2 linked regions of the Arabidopsis thaliana genome follow. The protein of the gene in region 1 interacts with the protein of each later gene in a pairwise test. Each region holds a gene or a part of one and is shown in the gene's direction. Other genes may lie near its edges.

What was found.
Region 2: the proteins of HA8 (region 1) and SUB interact in a protein complementation assay, tested with the Arabidopsis thaliana proteins (one large-scale study listed by BioGRID).

Annotation. Positions count from the first base shown.
Region 1 is NC_003074.8:14,722,030-14,729,126, forward strand, and holds HA8 (H[+]-ATPase 8), read left to right. Parts: upstream 1-2,073; 5' UTR 2,074-2,279; coding exon 2,280-2,330; intron 2,331-2,415; coding exon 2,416-2,772; intron 2,773-2,851; coding exon 2,852-3,166; intron 3,167-3,246; coding exon 3,247-3,693; intron 3,694-3,774; coding exon 3,775-3,897; intron 3,898-3,973; coding exon 3,974-4,078; intron 4,079-4,165; coding exon 4,166-4,475; intron 4,476-4,571; coding exon 4,572-5,086; intron 5,087-5,154; coding exon 5,155-5,328; intron 5,329-5,414; coding exon 5,415-5,597; intron 5,598-5,675; coding exon 5,676-5,845; intron 5,846-5,936; coding exon 5,937-6,033; 3' UTR 6,034-6,298; downstream 6,299-7,097. Other genes in the region: AT3G42630 (Pentatricopeptide repeat (PPR) superfamily protein), read left to right, coding at 285-374, 449-1,606. UniProt on the Arabidopsis thaliana protein: The plasma membrane H(+) ATPase of plants and fungi generates a proton gradient that drives the active transport of nutrients by H(+)-symport. The resulting external acidification and/or internal alkinization may mediate growth responses.
Region 2 is NC_003070.9:3,720,759-3,728,412, forward strand, and holds SUB (Leucine-rich repeat protein kinase family protein), read left to right. Parts: upstream 1-1,949; 5' UTR 1,950-2,376; coding exon 2,377-2,467; intron 2,468-2,810; exon of another isoform or gene 2,811-2,844; coding exon 2,845-2,974; intron 2,975-3,071; coding exon 3,072-3,143; intron 3,144-3,308; coding exon 3,309-3,374; intron 3,375-3,465; coding exon 3,466-3,537; intron 3,538-3,620; coding exon 3,621-3,692; intron 3,693-3,771; coding exon 3,772-3,843; intron 3,844-3,917; coding exon 3,918-3,983; intron 3,984-4,080; coding exon 4,081-4,146; intron 4,147-4,229; coding exon 4,230-4,723; intron 4,724-4,819; coding exon 4,820-5,178; intron 5,179-5,268; coding exon 5,269-5,540; intron 5,541-5,613; coding exon 5,614-5,752; intron 5,753-5,835; coding exon 5,836-5,951; intron 5,952-6,087; coding exon 6,088-6,244; intron 6,245-6,357; coding exon 6,358-6,420; 3' UTR 6,421-6,692; downstream 6,693-7,654. Other genes in the region: AT1G11145 (hypothetical protein (DUF674)), read right to left, coding at 6,774-6,878, 6,954-7,286, 7,358-7,408. UniProt on the Arabidopsis thaliana protein: Regulates the expression of transcription factors that define the cell fates.

The DNA of each region.
Region 1 (7,097 bases):
AGTTGGTATTAAATAACATTCCTTAGTTTTGCCTCGTTTGAGCTCTAATTATTAATCGGATGACAAAAAAAATAGTTAATATTAAATAGTGAAATCTTTTATAAAAAGAAAAGAAAACATTTATTTACTAGTGGGGATAATGTTTCTAAAGCCCAATAAAGGCCCAAACGTTCTCTGAAATAACACCCTAATTATAGCTTCTGAGGCCCAAATCTCTCTCTCTCCCCTCCGGAAATCTCCTCGATTCCTCCGTCACCACCGTACCGTAACCGAGACTGGTCGCAATGTTGTCGCTCAATCTATCTTTGAAACCCCAACATCTCAAGCTCTTATCTTGTTACACGGATTCGTCTGCTCCTTCAATCGCGAAAAAGGTACCTACACACTTGCTTCTGTTTCTTAGTTCACTTCATATCTTGAATTTTAGGTATCTCTCTACTTTGTACAGTTGATCAAGGAATCAAAGCTATCTAGGGACTTCAGTCAAAAGATACAAATCGTAGACTACGCTCCATTAGTTCAAACTTTAAGCCAGAGAAGATTACCTGATGTAGCTCATGAGATTTTTCTCCAAACGAAATCAGTTAACTTGTTACCAAATTACAGAACCCTTTGTGCTCTTATGCTTTGTTTTGCTGAAAATGGGTTTGTTCTTCGAGCACGTACGATTTGGGATGAGATTATAAACAGTTGTTTTGTACCTGATGTCTTTGTAGTCTCTAAGCTTATATCTGCTTATGAGCAATTTGGTTGTTTTGATGAAGTTGCCAAGATCACCAAGGATGTTGCTGCAAGGCACTCGAAGCTTCTTCCGGTTGTGTCTTCACTTGCTATATCCTGTTTTGGTAAGAATGGACAGTTGGAACTGATGGAGGGTGTTATAGAGGAAATGGATTCAAAGGGAGTGTTGTTAGAGGCTGAGACTGCTAATGTGATTGTTAGATACTATAGTTTTTTCGGTAGTTTAGATAAGATGGAGAAGGCTTATGGCCGGGTTAAGAAGTTTGGTATTGTGATAGAGGAAGAAGAGATAAGAGCTGTGGTGTTAGCGTACTTGAAACAACGGAAGTTTTATCGGTTACGCGAGTTTTTGTCAGATGTTGGTCTCGGTAGAAGAAATCTTGGAAATATGTTATGGAATTCTGTATTACTGTCATATGCAGCTGATTTTAAGATGAAAAGCTTGCAGAGAGAGTTTATTGGAATGCTTGATGCGGGTTTCTCTCCTGACCTTACCACCTTTAACATTCGCGCTCTTGCGTTTTCTAGAATGGCTCTCTTCTGGGATCTACATCTCACTCTTGAACATATGAGACGTTTGAACATTGTTCCGGATCTTGTGACTTTCGGATGTGTTGTCGATGCATATATGGATAAGCGACTAGCGAGAAATTTGGAGTTTGTATACAACCGAATGAATCTGGACGATTCTCCTCTTGTCTTAACTGATCCACTTGCATTTGAAGTTCTGGGGAAAGGGGATTTCCATCTTAGCTCGGAAGCTGTTTTGGAGTTCAGTCCACGGAAAAACTGGACGTATAGAAAGCTAATTGGAGTTTATCTCAAGAAAAAGTTGCGGAGAGACCAGATTTTCTGGAATTACTAGCTACATGCCACATCTTTGCTGCAAAGACCGTCACTCTTTGCTCACTATCACAATCCCCCTGATAAACTTTTCCGATGCTTGAAATGAAACATTGAGGTTAGAGAGTCTTCTTGCTACTAGATTTACATATAAATCATACATGCCTGTATTTACAATGTTTTATTGTTAAATAGATATGTATATTGAATTACATACATATTATTAATGCACATTTTTATCCGGAGTTGTGGACCATAGAAAGACATATTGACTCCTCAAAGTAAATTCTGCATGTTACATTGAAATCATAGGCTAAATTTGAGATGCACTATTTTTAGAAAGTGTAGAGAAAAGGACAGGAAGAAATAAGCGAAAGCTTTGGTAAGCCACCAAACCTGATTACTGGAAGAAAAGAAAAAAGTTCCGAGAATAGAGTTAGATCGCTGGTGAGGGTTTTAAATGGAACACAACAATGGTTGTTTTAGAGTGTGTTATTCTTTTGTATTTATACCTTCTCATAGGTTTCTTGTAATACACGCTTCTTCCTCTCTCTCCCTCTCTCTTATGGCCTCGTCTTGAAAGCGTCTTGCATGCTAAGAGAAGGCTTTAGAGCAAGGAGAGAAGGGAGAAGTTGATTTATACGTCCATCGGATATATCTTCTTTTTATATCTGTCTCTCTTTTAAGGAAGAAAAATGGCGACTGAATTCTCGTGGGATGAAATCAAGAAAGAAAATGTGGACCTTGTAAGATTTTTACAGAGTTTAATTCGTTCTCGAGATCTTGAACTGTTGAAAATCTGTAATAATTTTTGAATGATTTATATTATAGGAGCGGATCCCTGTGGAAGAAGTGTTTGAGCAGCTGAAATGCTCAAAAGAAGGTTTGTCCAGCGATGAAGGTGCTAAAAGGCTTGAAATATTTGGGGCAAACAAGCTTGAAGAGAAATCAGAGAACAAGTTTTTGAAATTCTTGGGGTTCATGTGGAATCCTCTCTCATGGGTTATGGAGTCTGCTGCAATCATGGCTATTGTTTTAGCTAATGGAGGAGGAAAGGCGCCGGATTGGCAAGATTTTATCGGTATTATGGTGTTGCTTATCATCAACTCCACCATAAGTTTCATCGAGGAGAACAATGCTGGCAATGCCGCTGCTGCTCTCATGGCAAATCTTGCACCAAAGACTAAGGTATGCAAATTTCTCAATACATATATATAGGTATGTATTTTCTAAAAAGGAGAGTTATATAACCTATGTGTGAATGTAGGTGTTGAGAGATGGTAAATGGGGGGAGCAAGAGGCTTCAATCTTGGTTCCGGGTGATTTGATAAGCATCAAATTGGGTGACATTGTTCCTGCTGATGCTCGTCTCCTCGAAGGAGATCCTTTAAAAATTGACCAATCTGCTCTTACTGGTGAATCCCTTCCAACCACCAAACACCCAGGAGATGAAGTATTCTCTGGCTCAACCTGCAAGCAAGGTGAGATTGAGGCTGTTGTCATTGCCACGGGTGTCCACACCTTTTTTGGCAAGGCTGCTCATCTTGTTGACAGTACCAACAATGTTGGCCATTTCCAAAAGGTATTTTAGAAATGAACAACATCTGAGTACTGTAACTCTTGGTCTACCTAGGGTCTCACGGCTGGGTTTTTATTTTCCAGGTTTTGACATCAATTGGTAACTTCTGTATATGCTCAATTGGATTGGGGATGTTGATTGAGATATTGATTATGTACCCTATCCAACACCGCACATACAGAGATGGTATTGATAATCTATTGGTGCTTTTGATCGGAGGAATCCCAATCGCCATGCCAACAGTTTTGTCTGTAACAATGGCTATTGGATCACATAGACTCTCTCAACAAGGTGCCATCACCAAGAGGATGACTGCAATTGAAGAAATGGCTGGAATGGATGTTCTCTGCAGTGATAAGACTGGAACTCTAACCCTTAACAAGCTCTCTGTCGACAAGTCCTTAATTGAAGTGTTCCCAAAGAACATGGATAGTGACTCAGTTGTATTGATGGCTGCAAGAGCTTCCAGGATTGAAAACCAAGATGCCATTGATGCTTCCATCGTCGGAATGTTGGGTGATCCTAAAGAGGTACGTACTTCATATTTGTGAAACTTGGATTCATTTTGTTTACTGTCCTTATGTTGCAATTGTTTTTGATGAAATAAATAGGCAAGAGCAGGAATCACAGAGGTGCATTTCTTGCCCTTTAACCCTGTAGATAAACGTACAGCGATCACATACATCGATGAAAGCGGAGACTGGCATCGGAGCAGTAAAGGAGCTCCTGAGCAGGTAATGTAACTAATATGCTTGGTTTTACTTTTAATTTAACTTACTATCTTTATCTGAGTAACTTTATTATTACTAGATCATTGAACTCTGCAATCTCCAAGGAGAGACTAAAAGAAAAGCACACGAAGTTATCGATGGTTTTGCTGAACGTGGGCTTCGTTCTCTTGGTGTTGCTCAACAGGTATGTCATAGTTAGACTCATCACATAATGACATAAACATATTTCGTTATATGGTTTTAAGAAAATTCCTTTTCTATTCAAATGCAGACTGTGCCTGAGAAGACTAAGGAAAGTGATGGTAGTCCATGGGAGTTCGTTGGTCTGTTGCCACTCTTTGACCCCCCAAGACATGACAGTGCGGAAACTATTAGACGAGCCCTTGAGCTTGGTGTCAATGTTAAGATGATTACCGGTGACCAACTTGCCATCGGTATTGAGACTGGTCGTAGGCTTGGCATGGGAACCAACATGTACCCATCCACTTCACTCCTTGGCAATTCAAAGGATGAATCATTAGTTGGCATCCCTATCGATGAGCTCATTGAGAAAGCTGATGGATTTGCTGGAGTCTTCCCTGGTAATATATTCAAATAGTCAAATGTTAAAATATTGTTCAGTTACATCAGTCTCACTTGGTTTGTTCAATTACATTGTTTTCATTTGGTTTACACAGAGCACAAGTATGAGATCGTAAAGAAGCTACAAGAGAGGAAGCACATTTGTGGGATGACTGGAGATGGTGTAAACGATGCTCCAGCTTTGAAGAAAGCGGATATTGGAATTGCAGTGGCAGATGCTACTGATGCGGCAAGAAGCGCCTCAGACATTGTTCTAACAGAACCAGGACTAAGCGTGATAATAAGTGCCGTATTGACAAGTCGCGCTATCTTCCAGAGGATGAAGAACTACACAATCTACGCTGTTTCCATCACTATCCGTATTGTTTTGGGATTCATGCTTGTTGCTTTAATCTGGAGATTTGATTTCGCACCTTTCATGGTCTTGATTATCGCAATCCTAAATGATGGAACCATCATGACTATCTCTAAGGACAGGGTTAAACCTTCCCCGGTGCCAGATTCTTGGAAGCTCAATGAGATTTTCGCCACTGGCGTTGTTCTAGGAACCTACATGGCTCTTACCACTGTACTCTTTTTCTGGCTAGCTCATGACACAGACTTCTTCAGCGTAAGTAGTGTACAATATCACATCAACAACATTCGGTTACTATACTTATTTTCAATATTAAATTGCAGAAAACATTTGGAGTTAGGTCCATACAAGGGAACGAAGAAGAACTTATGGCAGCTTTGTATCTTCAAGTGAGCATCATAAGTCAAGCACTTATCTTTGTAACCAGATCAAGGAGCTGGTCATTTGTTGAACGACCTGGGTTTTTGCTCCTAATAGCCTTTGTTATAGCACAATTGGTTAGTAGACTCTCTTTGTACCATAATACTATCCATTTTCATTCATTACCGTCTGATACATGTGTCGTTTTTATGCAACAAACAAGGTGGCTACATTGATCGCTGTGTATGCAAACTGGGGATTCGCAAGAATCGTCGGTTGTGGATGGGGATGGGCTGGAGGTATATGGGTATACAGTATCATTACCTACATTCCTCTTGATATTCTCAAGTTCATCATCCGTTACGCTCTCACTGGCAAGGCTTGGGATAACATGATCAACCAGAAAGTGAGCATATTTCGGAAACAAAACTTTACCTTAAATCCATGTTAGTTGTGAGCTTCATAGCTCTTTAATCTTTTGCAGACTGCGTTCACAACTAAGAAAGATTATGGAAAAGGAGAGAGGGAGGCTCAGTGGGCACTAGCTCAACGTACACTCCATGGTCTACCACCTCCAGAAGCAATGTTCAACGACAATAAGAACGAGCTCTCTGAAATAGCAGAGCAGGCCAAAAGGCGTGCCGAAGTTGCGAGGTAATAAAGTTAATCCTCTTTGTCATATTCTTTAAGAAAAAACATTGGATAATCAAACCAAACTAAACAAGGTATTGTTTCTTATTTGTAGGCTGAGAGAGCTTCACACTCTAAAGGGTCACGTTGAATCTGTAGTGAAGCTCAAGGGGCTTGACATTGATACCATTCAACAACACTACACTGTTTAACCATTTATGGGGTTACTATGATGAAAGAGCCCTAATGAGTAACGAAATAAGCTATGTATTCTCCTTATATTGGTTTTAAACTATTTGTAACAAAAAGAGAGCAAAAACAAGATGTAAAATATATCTTTTCCGTTGGATGAAATATAATAACACTTGCAAAAAATCTTCTCTCGGTCCTGGTTTAGATTATTAGGGTTGAAAACATATTAAACTTGTCGTCTTTATTTTCAAAACCTACTTCGACATTAAATATAAATTAATACTCTAAAATATATAGTAAAAAATATATATTAGAATTAATAAAAAAAAAAAAAAAATAGTATTTTTGCATTACTATATATTGTGTATAGTTACTTAAATGAATACTAAACCCAAAAAAATATTAAAAATCGATAAAAACAAACTCACGCATAACGAGAGTTAATAACCTAGTCATATTGAAAAATTTAGTAACTTAAACTTAAGTTATACAAAAAAAAAAAAAAAAACTCTAAATGTATTTGAATTTTATGATATTTAAATAAAAGCCTTAAAAAAATGGACTTGATTAGCTTAGTCTACAATTTGGAAAACCCTATGATAATATATCAATTCAAAAAAGTGAAAAAAAACACACTATCATAACAAAACATAAAGCACACTTTATAACCGTAGATCTCTTAACCACGTATCATTTAATAACAGTGATGATAAACGTACTAATTATGTACACTACAAGCTTAAAAAGGAATAAGATTCAATTGTTTTGGTAATGTTTTGAGGCTCAAATAATGTTTCCTAAAACTAAATTCAAACAGAAATAACTGAACGAAAACAAATAACTAAAACTGTTCATAATTTTGTTTTTCTTCTAAAAAAACTATTTTTATGGCTTTTGTGATAAAAATAAAAGTAAAGTAAATGTTGAATTTTGATTTAGAAGGTAATAAATCGTTAAAAGGATGTGTGATCTCACTTTCTGAACTAACAAGTTTTTTATGTTTCAGTTGCTCCTTGTTTTTGCTTATGTTTTGCTTATGTTTTGCTTATATTTTATTTATTTGTTTTTGTTTTTTTTTGCTTAT
Region 2 (7,654 bases), on another chromosome or scaffold:
TCATACTTGTGTATATTGGAAAATGAAAATGGAACGAGACAATTCAATAGTTCTGATCAATTTAATATTTTCAAAACGATCAAGTGCATAACAGCAAATTGTATCCAAGTATCGTCTAACAAATTCTTTTAAGTTCTTTTTTTGACTTTTCATAATCTATAGAACTTTTTCTTTGAAGCTTCTTGATGTAAAATGGTAGGGCGGAAAAAGCTAGGGTGATGTAAAACCAAAACTTGAACCAAAATTCGTGTAGATACGTAACTAGATTTGATTTAAATAAATAAAACATTCGTTATGTGCCTTGGATCCTCTGGCTAACGGGTGACCATAAAGTAGTGTTGCATTCTTTAATTTTGTTTCGCCTTTTGCGTAATGAGAGACCATATTATAAAATAAAGCCTAACTTTACAATATCTGTATTTTTTCCTCGACACTCTTTTTTAAGAGACCAATAGTTTGAATTCATTATCATGCATCTTCCAATCTCATAACTAATTTGGTATGCATGTATAAGTGCTACAATCATTATTATATGGGGTTTCTGATTTTTTGAAGTACAAGAATCAAAATGAATCCAACCTGATTGGTGTAGTTTTGGGTCGAGTTCGGTCGAAACAAAAATTTGATTCGGTATTATTTATTTGATTTTGGTTCGGTTTATTATGGTTGGCACTTGGCATATTGGTTTTGAAAAAAAAAAATGTTATCATGTACGATTTTTTTTGGGTGCAAAAAAGCATCATGTACGATAGTTTTCTACTTTTCTTCAAAGATTGAAAGTAACCGTTGCAATCTCATTGCATTATTAGGCCTACGAGAGGTATCTTCTTTCAAGTGGGCTTTACCATTACACTATTGACCAAGTTTGGGCCACATTTGGTTTGAATAGCCCATAAGAATGTGGTTTTTTTTTTTTAACTAGTCGCAACTTATTATCGTGTATGGTGTGAACTTGATTGATTTTGACAAGCCAAAAAAATCGATTGATAATTAATTGATCTCGACAAAATAAAAATCTAATATCAACACATAAGCTCACCAAGCATGTTTTATTCTTTATTGATCATACAATGTATGTTTGCTGTTATTATTCGGGTTGCAAATAATTTATGTGAATATCAGAACTTCAGAAGTAACTCCTACCAAAAAAGGAACTTGAGAAGTAATCACATATGAATATCGAAGTTACTCTCATCTCAAATTATGCAATGATGGCATTCCATTAAATTACTACTATTGAATTGTACACAAATCCTCCATCACATCAACCAACAAACAAAGAATAATACAAATTAAGAATATATTCCAAAGAAATTGATAAATAGTGATTGTTAGTTGTAACTGTAAACACAAAACCAGAATTCTTAATTATTAATAGAAAAACAAAGGTTTCGAATGGTAACCAAAATGCACCGTGCAATCATACATATAACATTAGTTAGTTATTTTTAGAATATATTGAAAAGATAATTATTGTATAATTACTAAGTATATTCAATTTAAAGTCGTAAGAAAAAACCCTTTATTGGCTCTAATTGTTTAAAAACATATATTAGGATTCACTAAGATGTATAATTGAAATCAATTTCCAAACCATGTAAAAGTACTAGTTTTCTCAAATAGTTTGTTGCTATTAGTTTGTTACTAAAACTAATTCACACATTTTTATCACCAAAAGAGCAAAAATGGACGTGGGATGAATATGATGATATTTTTTTTGACCTTGTTGTAGGGTCTCTCACTCTCTTCTTCCATTAAAGAATTCTCAGAGCTTTTCTTACTTCAACTGTTTTCTTGGCCCATCTCACTGAAATAAGTGTGATAAACTCTGCCTGTTACATTATTTGGATTTTAATAGGTGAAGTAACGGAATATGTAATCTACATCAAAATAATATTCACTTCTATCTCTCTACCTTATGGCATTAGAAAAATCCAATTATTACATGAAAGGAAACTATAGTAATTAGATGAAGCATAGAAGCGACAATTAAAAGACATAAAGAGAGACAAGTCTTGGCAAGTTTTCTCTGTTTCACACTTTGGAGACGAAACCTTAAAGGCTTAAAACTGAGAAAAACAAAGCCGTTGGCTTTTGTAAGCCGCTCGTTCTTCGAGACAAAACACACTACACTCTTTCTCTCTCACTCACTCTTCATCTCTTTTCTTCTTTCTCTCTCTCCTAAAAATCCGACGAAATTATGATTCACTTTACCTTTTAATCAGGAATATCCCTGTTTCACCCTTCTTCTTCTTCTTCTTCTTCTTCTTCCTCGTGTTTTTTTTCCATAACATTCCCTCTGAATCTTCGTTTTTTATTGGAAAGAAACAATCTAATCCAAGTTCAAGGGTTTTCTCATCTTCAGTGGCTGAAGTTATGAGCTTTACAAGATGGGAAGTGTTCTTTGGTCTCTCTGTTTTAGCCTTGACAATGCCTTTCTCAGCTGGAGTTACTAATCTACGAGATGGTAATAATCTTTCTCTGCAAAGTTTTTTTTATTTGGATTTTGCTTTGACTCTCCTTCTTTTGGTTTAGTGAACACTCTAGATTTTTTTTAGACTTGTGTCTAGTGAAAATGACTTACATCAGTTTTAGGGTAAACTAGGTAAGCAATATAGCTGTTTGGGAAGCTCCAGATTGGCAAAGTTCTATGATTTTGAGGCTACCTCAAAAACCCTAAAAAGTTTAGGTTTTTGACACATAAGCTCTTGTTAGGGTTTTAGTTCAAGACCAAGAAATTTGTTCTTATTGTTCTTCATTAAATGGTTATCATAAGAAAGATTCTTTAATCTCTAGAAATTTTACTTTTTGATGTGTTTGTCTGTTGTTTAATAACTTCTGCAGTTTCGGCGATTAATAACTTGTATATCACTTTGGGAGCACCATCTCTACATCATTGGCTTGCTTTTGGAGGAGACCCTTGTGGAGAAAAGTGGCAAGGTGTGGTGTGTGACTCCTCAAACATCACAGAAATGTATACTTCCTCTTCTGCTCTTGTAACTCTTTGTTATGGTTTGCTTTGAGTCACCAATTCAGGTTCTAACCACGTGAATTATTGTTGTTGGCTGCAGAAGGATACCTGGCATGAAGGTAGGTGGAGGCTTAAGTGATACTCTGGCTGATTTTTCATCTATCCAAGTCATGTAAGCAAAGCTTCTTGTCTTGTTTTCTTTCATCTTCATCTTTTGTATGAGGCTTCTTGCTATGTGAAGAACATGCAAGATGTTGTTACCATTGACTATAAGGTTTGGTTATAATCTTGAATTGCTTTGTGATACTTTTTCTCTCTTCTTTGTTTGAGTGGACAGGGACTTCAGTAGCAATCATATTTCAGGGACAATTCCGCAGGCTTTGCCTTCTTCCATCCGAAACCTGTGCGTTTGAGAATTGACTATGTGTATGGCAATACTTATGTTTCCAACAGTTAAAAGACACTTCATGTTTGGTTTCATTTTCTTGTTTCAGATCTCTCTCAAGCAATCGCTTCACTGGGAACATTCCCTTTACATTGTCCTTTCTATCCGATTTGTCTGAACTGTAAGTCTTTATTAATGTAGATACCGTTTCTTGCATCTGCGGTTTTTCCTCTGTTTGAAGCAGACTCTTTCTTTTCCCTTCAGGTCATTGGGAAGCAATCTTCTATCAGGAGAGATACCAGATTACTTTCAGCAGCTATCAAAACTGACAAAACTGTATATTTCCTCCTCACTAAGTCTCATTTTGTATCCTCCCATCAGCGTCTTTCATTTATACATTAAGTTTCTAATGCAGGGACTTATCGTCTAACATACTGGAGGGGCATTTACCTTCTTCCATGGGAGACTTAGCTTCTCTTAAGATATTGTAAGTGCACATATATGAAACCGTATACAAACATTGTTATCATTGCTTTTATATGTGATGTGGTCGGACTGTAGGTATTTGCAGGACAACAAGCTCACAGGAACACTTGATGTTATAGAGGATCTTTTCTTAACCGATTTGTAATCGTTTTTCACCTTGCATACTCTTTGTTCTTGACTCTCCAACCATTAAGCCAACTTCAGTATCTCACTATGGCTTTTCATATTTTTGATTCAGGAATGTAGAAAACAACTTATTCTCGGGACCTATACCGCCAAATCTATTGAAAATTCCAAACTTCAAGTAAGTATTACTAAAAGAAAACTTGAATGTTTTTTTTTTCCTTTTCTTTAGCCATTCATGTTACATTGTCATTATAACCGCAGAAAAGATGGAACTCCGTTCAATACATCGATTATAACACCACCGCCTCCGCCTGTGGTTGATCCTCCTCCCGCTACTCACCGTGCTCCTCCTGTTCCCCGTATCCCTCCTGTTTCTGGTGTTCCCCCAGCACCTTTTGCTCCTTTTGCTCCACTGCAACCACAACAACATCCACCACCATCACCACCTCTGGTCTGGTCACCACCTTCTTCTGATAATGGAGGAGGAGATCCCTGGAACTCTGTGTCAGGGCAACCTACCTTGCAAATATCACCTCCTTCAGGTTCAGGATCAGGAAAATTCTGGTCCACTCAAAGAATCATTCTAGTAGTTTCTTCAGTGGCCATAATTGTTCTTGTATCCGGTTTGTGTGTTACACTTTGGAGATGTTGCAGAAGTAAAATATATAACCGATATTACAGTGGAGCTCGTAAAGATTTACAACGACCATACTTCAATAAGCCTCCATCTCAACCAACCCCCACTATGGGAAAAGGTACACTGATTCTTTTCCTTCCAAGAAAAGAAAAGAAACTTGTGCTTTGGCTCATTACCTAACGGCAAACTGCTGTGGTGTTTTCTTTTGTTGCAGTTTCTCGGGAGCCTATGGTTAAGCCTTTCGATGGATATGGAGCTGGAGACAGGAAATATGGGTATCCAATGCCACAGCGGGCTGAAGAGAGCCGGAGAGCAATGCCTCCTACTTCATATTATAATAAGGATGTTAATACACCTCAAAAGCCGCTGCAACAACCACCGAGGCAGTTCCAGTCCAATGATACTGCTTCAAAGAGAGCGGCTCATTTCCCCCCGGGCTTGAATTCCTCATCTTCTGCTACTGTTTTCACCATTGCTTCACTTCAGCAATACACAAATAATTTCTCAGAAGAGAATATAATCGGGGAAGGGTCGATTGGTAATGTCTACAGAGCTGAGCTTCGTCATGGAAAGGTGTGACACTTTCCTCTTATTTGTCATTTGGTCTTACAGTATTTTATGCTGTGCATTCTTATTTACGTCTTGACACGTTGTGATCTATAGTTTCTTGCGGTGAAGAAGCTGAGCAATACCATCAACAGAACACAGAGTGACGGCGAATTCCTCAATCTAGTCTCCAATGTGTTGAAGCTTAAACGCGGTCATATATTGGAGCTTCTTGGTTACTGTAACGAGTTTGGTCAAAGGTTACTTGTGTATGAGTACTGTCCTAATGGATCACTTCAAGATGCACTACATTTGGATCGCAAGTTGCACAAGAAGCTCACTTGGAATGTACGTATAAATATTGCATTAGGAGCTTCAAAGGCATTGCAGTAAGTTAAAGAACCTCAACATGTTACGCCAATCTATATTTGGAACATATAGGATCTTAGAGTTTGGTTTCAGGTTTCTTCATGAGGTATGTCAACCGCCGGTTGTTCACCAGAATTTCAAGTCTTCCAAGGTTCTTCTTGATGGAAAGCTCTCAGTACGTGTTGCAGACAGCGGTTTGGCTTATATGTTACCACCACGCCCAACGAGTCAGGTAAATTTGTCATCTTATTTTGAAGATCCCAAACATAAGAGTGAGTGTTGTAAAGGATATGATGTTTGCTTATAAAATTGTAGATGGCGGGTTATGCCGCTCCTGAGGTTGAGTATGGAAGCTACACTTGTCAGAGCGACGTATTTAGCCTTGGGGTTGTAATGTTAGAACTGCTCACTGGACGCAGACCATTTGACAGGTTAGCTACTCTAAAGAGACAACTAATAGAAGCCATAAAAGAGTCTGAACTCAAAAGTCAACATGTTCACTTATGTTTCTTATGCAAAATCACTGTACTACACTATCTCAAGACAAAACCCTGTTTTTTTTTGCAGGACAAGGCCGAGGGGACATCAAACACTAGCTCAGTGGGCGATTCCTCGGCTTCATGACATCGATGCGTTGACAAGAATGGTTGATCCGTCATTACACGGAGCGTATCCAATGAAATCATTGTCACGTTTTGCAGATATCATATCACGTTCACTGCAGGTAAACTTAACTTCATTCATCACTTAACTAGATGAGAAAGCAATGTCAAACACGTGACATCAGAATATTAACTAACCCTTTTGACTTCTGTGCATGCTTATCTTTGTCTGTAGATGGAACCAGGATTTAGACCGCCGATATCAGAAATAGTCCAAGATCTTCAACATATGATCTAAGATACACAACCTTGGACTAAGACGCAGAAGCAATAGTTTATTGTCAGATTCTTGTTCTTTGTCCTTTGATGAATGAAAGTATTTCTTTTGTATTATAATAACACTTTATGTATGTTGTTGGCTGTATGAAATGAGCTATGGGATCATCATTATGTAACCCCAATCCCATTACCGGCTCAAACATTATTCACCAACCTGATCATGTATTTAGATTCTATTTTCTGAAAAGGATAAACATTTTTTGAATCAAAAGACATTAAAATTCAAGAACAAAAGGTTGTACTTAACAGTAGTGTAAAAGAGAAGGTAACTTGTTCAACTAGCACTGTAGACAACAAAACCTAAACTTCAAATCAATCTGCTCCACAGAGGGCATGTGATTGATGCTTTAGAGTCGTTTCTCTGAAAGAAAGCTCCCGAAAGCCGTAGTCAAGGCAGTGGATGTCACGAATGAGGCTCTTAGTAAACCTATGGCCTGGATTAGTGTCAGATTCAAAAAAAAATATCAGGAAAGAATAGTAATATAGATATACATGTGTTTTGCCAATGTTGATTTCATGCTCAAAAATATCGTCCAAGTTCACATCAAACTTCTTCTTTACGCAAATAGTAAGATCATCTGAGACAATGTATGTTGCCCCTCTCTTAACTAACCCATTGCTACCATGAGGTGTCGACTGAGAACTACCGTCACTGTTTAAATAACTGACCCCAAGCAACGGTTTCTGCAAACTATATTGCCAAGGAAGCATACATGTGTTAGTAGATGCATCTGTGCCTCCCCTAGAGCTCAAGTCCTTCAAGCTTCTACAAAAGTTGCCAATGCATACTAGGTCGATATTGCTTCCAGTGATTTCCCATACAGACTCCAAAGGGATAGCAAGGAAAATGAAAAGTAGATCCACAAAAAGTCGTGTCCGCTTTCAGCGTCAAGAACCTTCATGTCCTGCTTCCTAGCAAACAGAGTGAGTCCCTGCTTCACCTCCATCTTGCGCGGGTAGCTTTGGCATGTCATGCCAACGTGTCATACCACAAGAGCTATGCTTCTTCATCATCATCAAATTGTGGAATCTCTGATCTATTTATGCCATTACGTTTTCGCACTCTCCGATCTATTTATGAAATTTTTGAATCCAGGTTCTATCTCTGCTTCATTGCTTGCTCTCTTCGGAAACTCCTTTCACTGATGTCTTTTTGAAATTGGGCCATCTAATTTTTTTGCATATAGGATGAT